2 linked regions of the Oryctolagus cuniculus genome follow. Each later gene encodes a partner of the first gene's protein in a complex. Links are inferred from orthologs where the notes say so. Each region holds a gene or a part of one and is shown in the gene's direction. Other genes may lie near its edges. The genes, in order: APAF1 and CASP9.

Region 1 (4,574 bases):
CCCATGGGAGACCAGGATAAGTACCTGGCTCCTGCCATGGGATCAGCGCGGTACGCCGGCTGCAGCGTGCTGGCTGCGGCGGCCATTGGAGGGTGAACCAACGGCAAAGGAAGACCTTTCTCTCTGTCTCTCTCTCTCTCTCTCTCACTGTCCACTCTGCCTGTCAAAAAAAAAAAAAAAAAATTCATCTAAAGAAGGTGAGGCACTTGAAGGTGTAAGAGCAGTTTATTTAAACAGTAAATCCAGTACACCTAATTACATAAACAAGTATCACCTGAGTAAAACATACTTTTTTTTAAGAAAAAGAACGTATAATAATCAACATTTCACTTTATTTTAACAAATTTTTTATGAACTTCAAGAAATACACGACCTGGGATGAGTCACCAGTAAAGTATGATTCAAAATGTGCTAGCATCAAAAATGTTTTAGATTAGAGGAACTTCAGGGTCTCTGGAAGAGTAACAACTGTTCCTAAATATCTTACAAATTGATGAAGAAAGGTAAACTCTATTAATCGTACCGTGTCAGTCTTGCTATTAAAATGAGTTAGATTATTCCTAAAGAAAATAGGTTAAGTAAAATAAATAGCTTCCCATGGTTGTTTCCAATGTTAATTTTTCCTAACAACAACTGTGTTGGGTGTAAGGCTATATATTTAGTCTCAAGTAAACACAAGCGCTCTGTTTTTGTAGTTTTACAATGCATACAGAAGTTTAACCTGTAATTTAGGAAGACTTTAAATTCACAACGCATGCACGTTGATCGAAATAGGAGAAATCCTTCCAACTCTGGAATCAGCTAACACTGCTGCTTTGAGATAATGAAATCTAAAGGTTACAAAGTTCCCATTAGGCATCTATGGGGCAAATGTGACCGGCACCCAGCGCCCACGAGTAACGGTTTACAGCAACGTCAAAGATCAGGCGCCTAACGAGGTTTGTCCTTAATCTGCAGACCTCAGAGGCACGGCCCCGGGGGTCGCGGCTGGGGGACCAGCAGCCGCCAGCATGGGGGCTGGAGGTTAGGGGGATGCCCGGTCTGGTGGAAGGATCAGGGGCTGGACTCCGATGAGCAGGGCGACCACAGGAGGCCGGACACGGCCCGGGTGGCTCCGCGTCCACTTACCAGGCCAGGCCCAGGCACGTCCCCAGCGACAGGAGGCTCAGGCCCGTCCGGGGGTCTGCCCAGCCCCCGCCTCGGCCGCCCTGGGCCTCTGAGCTTTGGCCGCCCTCGCTCCGCTTGCCGGGGTCCGCGAGGGCTCCCTTGGGCCCAGATTTCTTCCTGTTCTTCACCTCGGACATGTCTGGAGGCCCAGAGGACACACCCGGGGCGGCTTCTTCAGCCGGGGGGAGCAGGACTTGGCCGCCTTTGCCTCGCCGGCGGTGAGCGCGCCCCCGCACAGCCTTGGCGCCGCCCAGAATCCAGTCCCTTTTCTCTCCCAGCCATCCTGCAGCTCCACAGTCTCCCAGACTCCCGCCTCCCAGCTCCCTCTGCTGAGGCGGAGCCCCACCTCCCCCTTCCTCGGCGTCACCGCGGCTGACCAGAGGAACCCCAGCTCCTGGGCGCGCGCAGGGACCCGAGGGCGTGGAGCCGGGCGGGGCCGCGCGCGCCACGTCAACGGCACGGCCGCCGTCGCCGTCTAGGTCGGCTCTGGGTAGCAACGCGGCGCGCCCCTGTGGCTTAGTCACGCCTCCCCACGTAGAGTGTGGGGCGCGCTTCCCTACGTGCGCGTGCACCTCCCCGTACGCGCCCGGGCACAAGCCGGGCGGGGGCGCGCGCGGCGGCAGCCGCCTCGAGGGACTAGCGGCGTGTTTATTTGCATGCGCGGGGGCGCGCTGATCCAGCGGGGCGGGCCCGGCGGGTGTTTGACTGCTGGTCGGTCCTGAGGCAGGAGGAGGTAACGATTGGTGTGAAGTGCGTGTCCTGGGGCAGAAAGAAGGGCTGAGGGAGCCGGAGGCGGGGAGGCCGGGCCGTCGGCGACCCGCGTGGGGCTTGAAGTAGCCGTAGTGGCGTCCAGAGTGGTGTCGGGCTCTCCCGGGTGCAGCTGCCGCCCGAGGGAAAGAGCGGCAGCTCGGCTGGCCCTCCTCCCTTTGTGTCCCGGGGCGGGGTCCGCCCCGCGGGTTTTCCTGCGCTCGGGGTTGCGAAGGCCCAGGTGAGGCACCTGCGCGGCTGATGTTCCTTGGGGCGTTGGGGACGTGGACAGCTTGTGCCCCGCTTCTTGCGTTCCCGGTGGGAAGCCCCACTGCCACTGGCCGCACCCGCGATGAGATCTCTGATCAAAGGTTTGCGTAAGTTGACCTGCTCGATGTTCTGAGCCAGGTAATTTTAGCAGATTTCAGGGTCTGAGGGTTAGGGGACAATGAGATCTTTAGTAATCCTTTATCTTCCTTAGCAGGAAGAGAAATTATCTAATGAGGAAGTAGTAAGCTACAGGGTTCCTGGATGAATTTGCTCTCGACTTTGTATTTTATGTCAGTGAAAAGTTTTGGCTTTCCATTTTGATGTGATTGTAACGGGTGGGACAGAATATTTCACTTGGGGCAAGTGTACGGTGTACAAAATTTAAGTGTAATATGGATAGGTGGAATTGGGAATTAGTCGCAGCAAGCCTAACAAGCGACTGTTTGCCTAGACACTAAAGTGAAAAATTTCGTTTTTGTTTTGTCAAGTCCATTGCAATGAATAGAGGAATTTTCTTGTTTAAATTAAGAAAGTAGAAACGTTGTTTGAAGATATGAAGGCCTTGATTCTCATCGTATCTGTCAGTTAAGTTTCATGGTGGTCCTGGGCGTTTTGTGATCTTGGACAACACAGACAAATGCCCTACTTCCTTAATTTTGCAAGTGCTACAGTTGGTGACTTTTAAAGATTATGGTCATCATTGAAGCTTGATGATTATTGCCCCTTTTCTGTGTGCTCTAAATTACTTGTGCTTAATTCCGGTTTTGCACTTAGGACATAAACTTTCTAATTATTTGCTCTCGTTTTCTTTTCTTCTGTGTTGTGAATTCTTCTAGAAACAGTCTGAATTGAGTTTTATACTCATGGAAAACTTCATGTTCTACTTGACATAAAATTGGTAGAAACTTAAAGTATTTACTGCAAAGAATATTGTTCTTTCTTAATTCAAGAAATCTGCTTCAAGAATCGGTATTCAGTACCAACAATGCTCTGTTTGGTTTTATGTTGGATAAAGAAAATAGGAAGTTTGAAACATTAGGACTTCAATATGATCACTATTTTTTAAATTAATTTTTAAGGTCCATGTGAATGTGTTTATTTTATTTGTAAATGCAGAGAGAGAGAGAGAGAGAGAGAGAGAGAGAGAGGCCATCTTGTGGTTCACTCCCCAAATGCCTGCAGCAGTTGGGACTGTGCCAGGCCGAAGCCAGGAGCTCAGTCAGGGTTTTCCAAGGACCAAAGTTCTTGAGGAATCCAAGTACTTGAGTCTTCACCTGCTGCCTCCCGGGTGTACATTAGCAGGAAGCTGAATCACTAGCAGAGCTGGGACTGAATCCTGGGCACGGCTATGGGATGTGGGCTTCCCAAGTATCCTCTTAGCTGCTCTACCAAATGCCCACCTCTATTTTATAAAATGCTAATTTATAGTAGGAATATTTTTATTGTTAAAAATGGTGATGTGGGGGCAAGCGCTGTAGCGCAGCAGGTTAAAGACCTGGCCTGCAGTGCCCACATCCTGTGTGGGTGCCAATTTGAGTCCTGGCCATTCCACTTCCGATGCAACTCCCTGCTAATGTGCCTGGGAAAGCAGCGGAGGATGGCCCAAGTGCTTGGGCCTCTGTGCCCACGGGGGAGACCTGGAAGAGGATCCTGGCTCCTGGCTCCTGGCTCCTGGCTCCTGGCTTGGCCAGCCCCAGTTGTCCTCAACCATTGGGGGAGTGAACCAGCAGATGGAAGATCTCTCTTTCTCTGTGTGTCTCTACCTCTCTCTGTAACTCTGTGTGACTTTCAAAAAATAAAGTAAATCTTTAAAAAAAAAGGTAATGTGTATTGAAAAAATTAAGACAGTAGAGAGAAGAAAAGAGTGTGGCTCCAAATCTTGCTCCTCAGAAGTAGTCTAAACATTTTGATGAATAAAATTCTAAGCTTCTTCCTATATTTTTCTGTACCAATACATTTTCTTGTTATTTATAGGATCATATTTTTATTTTTCAATCAATGTGTCATGAGCATCTTTATATTCAGTGCATGTATAATTTTAAATATTTAGCGCATTTATAATTTTAAATGGCTATATATTATAAATATTATTTATTTAATGTTTCATTATGTAGCATACTTTTTTAAAAAAGATTTGTTTATTTGAGAGGCAGAGTTACAGAGAGAGAGACGGAGAGCAATCTTCATCTGCTGGTTCACTCCCCAAATGGCCACAATGGCTGGAGCTGGGCCGATCCGGTCAGGAGCCAGGAGCTTTGTCTGGGTCTCCCATGGTGCAGGGGCCCAAGGACTTGGGCCATCCTCTACTGCTTTCCCAGGCCATAAGCGGAGAGCTGGATCAGAAGAGGAGCAGCCAGGACATGAATCGGCACCTATATTGGATGCTGGGT
Region 2 (3,804 bases), on another chromosome or scaffold:
ATTGCAATGGTCAGAGCTGAGCTAATCTGAAGCCAGGAGCTGGGAGCTTCTTCCAGGTCTCCCATGTGGATGCAGGGGCCCAAGGACTTGGATCATCTTCTACTGCTTTCCCAGGCCATAGCAGAGAGCTGGATCAGAAGAGGAGCAGCAGCCGGGATTTGAACTGGCACCCATGTGGGATGCCGGTGCTGCAGGCTAGGGCTTTAACCCATTGTGCCATAGCACTGGCCCCATGGTCCACTTTGGATCCACCTCCCTGCTAATGCGCCTGGGAAAGCAGCAAAGGATGGCCTACGTGGGATACCCAGAAGAAGCTTCTGGCTCCTGGGTTTGGTCTGGCTCAGCCCTGGCCATTGCAGCCATGTGGAGAGTGAACCAGTGGATGGAAGACCTCTCTCACTCCCTCTCTGTAACTCTGCCTTTCAAATAAATAATAAATATTAAAAAAATAAAAAATTCAGTTAGTACTCAGACTCCCCAAGTGCTCAGTGGCCATGTGTGACTACTGGCTGCCATGTTGGATAGCACAGATGCAAACCATTACCACCATCATGGACAGTTCTGTTAGTACTACTGTAGGATATTTGGGGACAAGGTGGTGTCTTGTCTCTGTGGATCCTGAGGCCCTTGTCCAGTGCTGGGTCCCCAAGGACAGGCAGCAAGAAATCAGCATCTTCCTCCTGCTGCCTGACCTAGTGGCCCTGCCCCTGACACTGTCAGGCAGCCTTGACCACTGCCCCCTCTTCTGTCCACCCAGTGTCTACGTCATGTCGAGTCAACCTCTTTATATGAGGGGACCTTAAAAGTTCATGGAAAGTGGAACTAAAAGATACGTTTATTTTGGTGCAAAAAATAAAATTGAAATCCAAGCACATGAGAGGTCTTCAGAAAGGTCATGGAAAATGCATACGGTGAGGAAACTGTGCAGTTTTCACAGTTCTGAAACCCACTGCTTTGCCGTAGCTCCTCACAGCTCCGAGGATGCATTTCTTAGCATGGCCACGCCAAGGCCTCTCCCTCTCCGCGGCCCGCCTCCCTTTCTTTGAGTCATTATTTGCTTCCTGGTGTTCCTTGGGGTCCCCTTGGTGGTGGCGGTGGTGGGGGCTTGCCTGACTGCCCCGGCCAAGTCCGTTGGCACTGAGCATTTTCCTTCCTGGCCCTTGTCTCCTTGCTGTGTCCTTGCTGATTTGTCTACACCCGCGCTAAACACTGGCTTTTCAGGACTGAGACCTTGCCCTGCCGTCTTTAGCATTTAGCACAGTGTTGGGCACGCGGTAGATGCCTCTGAAACAGAGCAGAGGCTGGGGCGGGTCCCTCGCTCAGGGTACCCTAGGCTCTGTTTCTACCCATGTGTCCCAGATGGGAAATGGGGCGACAAGGAGAGAAGCAGGTGGCACTAAGTGGGTGACTGCGTCTTGTCTTTCTTTCCAAACAGCACGCGGGGACTCGCCGGGATCAGGCCAGGCAGCTGGTCATAGATCTGGAGACCCGAGGGAGGCAGGCCCTTCCTTTGTTCATCTCCTGCCTGGAGGACACTGGCCAGCACACACTGGCTTCTTTCCTGCGAGCCAGTAGGCAGGAACGGGACCCCGAGGCCATCAGACCTCTGCCGCTGACACCCTTTGTGCTGGGACCAGTGGGCCTCCAACCAGAGAAGCCGACAGCGGTGACTTCGCAGGCGGCCCTGGGAAACCTCTCCCCGGTGGTGCTGGGGCCTGAGGAGCTATGGCCAGCCAAGCTCAGGCCAGAGGTTCTCAGGCCGGTGGACTCCAGTTCTGGAGGATTCCGTGATGTCTGTGAGTATCGATGGAGTGTTTGTTGGTTGGGTGTGACTGCTGGTACAGCTGGGTGGGCTGGGGTTCAGAATTTAATTTTGCTATTGTCTTATGGAACATTATGTGGGAGATGGGTGGAACATTCTGGTAAGTCATCAGGAGCGGTAACTTTGGCAGCCCCTCCTCAGAAAAGCATGCGCCCAGGTCTGTTTTGGGTGTCCCAGGTTTTTGCCAGTGTTTCTAGATCCAGCTGTTGTGCAGGATTGGCCTCTGGATAGCTTGGAGTGGCCTGTTGTTGCTGTGGATTCGTTCTGAGAGGTGAAGCGGTGGGGACAAGAGGCATGAAGTCACCACACAGACCCCGGGAGTGGGCCAGAGGCAAGCAACCCGCAGACTCATTTATTTCAGTTGGTGCAGCAGCTTATGCAGCTGAGGCAGCCAATCCGGTCAAGGGGCGGTTTATGTCCTAACCAATCACTGTCTATTGCCAGGCAGGCTCCATTGCCAGGTGGGTTCCGAAGCCATTTCCTGAGTAACTGACACTTGCTAGCCAGCACCATCTTGACACGGCCTTCTCATTCCACCACAGCCCGTGCCTGGGGCAGGAGGGAGGCCTCAGCTCAGAGTCTGCTCCCTGTGTGCACCTGCAGAGTACATCCCCCTGCCCGCCTCCCTTGTCGGGCAGCAAACCGGGGCTTAGGAGGCGGAAGTCAGTTACTTAAGGTCACAAGGCCACATCCGGCAAAATGCATGAGTCCCGAGAGCAGAGTTGGATGATTTTAACCGACGGGCACTCCCAGGTCAGCAACACCTGGGTCATCCCAGTGTCCTCCACAGCTCTTCCTCCTAGTCTGTTCCCACTCCCCGCACCCAAGGGAGTCACTGTTCCCGTCTCTGTCTCCTTGAACTTCCGAAGGAATGAAGTGCTGCCATGTGCACTCCAGAGTCTGGCTGCTTCCGCCCATCCTTGCTCTGGGGCACGCGTCCACGTTGTTGTGCATAGTGGGTGTCCATTCTTTTTCACTGCTAGGTGGTGGTGGGGTTCCTGTTCTGGATACTGTTCTGCTGATGGACCTGGGTGGTTGTCAGTAGCACTTGGCTTCCTTGGCAGCGCGGGGAGATCTGGGGCTGCTCGTTTCCTGGTTGCCCAGTGGGCCGTCGTGCGGTACTAGCAGGGGTAGTGGTTAGCAGTACTGAGTATCTACTGCAGATTGAGCAGCCCTTGTCTGAACTGCTGGGACTGGAACTGTTTCAAATTTCTCATTTTATTTTATTTTTAGACAAAATGGGATGTCTTGGGAATGGGGCCCAAATAAACATGAAATTCATTCATATTTTCATAAATGCCACATAGTCTGAAGGTATTTTTTTTTTAATTTTATTTATTTATTTTAGAGGCAGAGTTACAACGAAGGGGAGAGACAGACAGAAAGGTCTTCTATCCACTGGTTTGTTCCCCAAGTGGCTGCAATGGCTGGAACTGGGCCAGTCCGAAGCCAGGAGCTTCTTCCAGGTCTCCAACACAGGTGCAGGGGCCCAAGCACTTGGGCCTTCTTCTACTGCTTTACCAGGCTATAAGCAGAGAGCTGGATCGGAAGAGGAATAACCGGGACATAAACTGGTGCCCATATGGGATGCCGGCACTGCAGACGGGGGCTTAGCTCACTATGCCACAGCACTGGCCCCATGAAGATAATTTTATACAGTGTCATTAGTGTGGTTACATTTTGATAGTGATCCGTTGCGGGAAGTCAGGTGTGAAATTACCGCTCCGGTGTCACGTCAGTGAGTTTTGGGTTTTTGGGTTAGGGATGTTCAAAGCGCTTACATAAATGATCTAATCAATCTCCCAGCTCTCTCTCAAGGCCTCCCATGTGGATGGCAGGGTCCAAATACTTGGGCCATCCTCTTCTGTTTTCCCAGGCATATTAGCAGGGAGCTGGATCAGAAGTGAAGCAGCGAAGACTTGAACCAGTGCTCATATGGGATTCTGGCATTGTAGGCCATGGCCTAACCTGCTGTGCCACAG

Evidence for each region.
Region 2: the proteins of APAF1 (region 1) and CASP9 are in contact, whole or in part, in a crystal structure (PDB 4RHW), measured with the Homo sapiens proteins. The link is inferred for Oryctolagus cuniculus from reciprocal best matches to the Homo sapiens genes APAF1 and CASP9. Residues at the interface, in NP_863651.1 of Homo sapiens: Thr22, Ser23, Tyr24, Met26, Asp27, Ile30, Ser31, Ile37, Glu40, Glu41, Arg44; in NP_001220.2 of Homo sapiens: Asp23, Trp26, Asp27, Leu30, Arg36, Pro37, His38, Glu41, Gln44, Arg45.

The regions. Positions count from the first base shown.
Region 1 is NC_091442.1:101,568,724-101,573,297, forward strand, and holds the start of APAF1 (apoptotic protease-activating factor 1), read left to right. Parts: upstream 1-1,649; 5' UTR 1,650-1,900; exon of another isoform or gene 1,901-2,322; intron 2,323-4,574. Other genes in the region: IKBIP (inhibitor of nuclear factor kappa-B kinase-interacting protein), read right to left, coding at 1,129-1,304. UniProt on the Homo sapiens protein: Oligomeric Apaf-1 mediates the cytochrome c-dependent autocatalytic activation of pro-caspase-9 (Apaf-3), leading to the activation of caspase-3 and apoptosis. This activation requires ATP. Isoform 6 is less effective in inducing apoptosis.
Region 2 is NC_091438.1:154,083,116-154,086,919, forward strand, and holds part of CASP9 (caspase-9), read left to right. Parts: intron 1-1,435; coding exon 1,436-1,796; intron 1,797-3,804. UniProt on the Homo sapiens protein: Involved in the activation cascade of caspases responsible for apoptosis execution. Binding of caspase-9 to Apaf-1 leads to activation of the protease which then cleaves and activates effector caspases caspase-3 (CASP3) or caspase-7 (CASP7).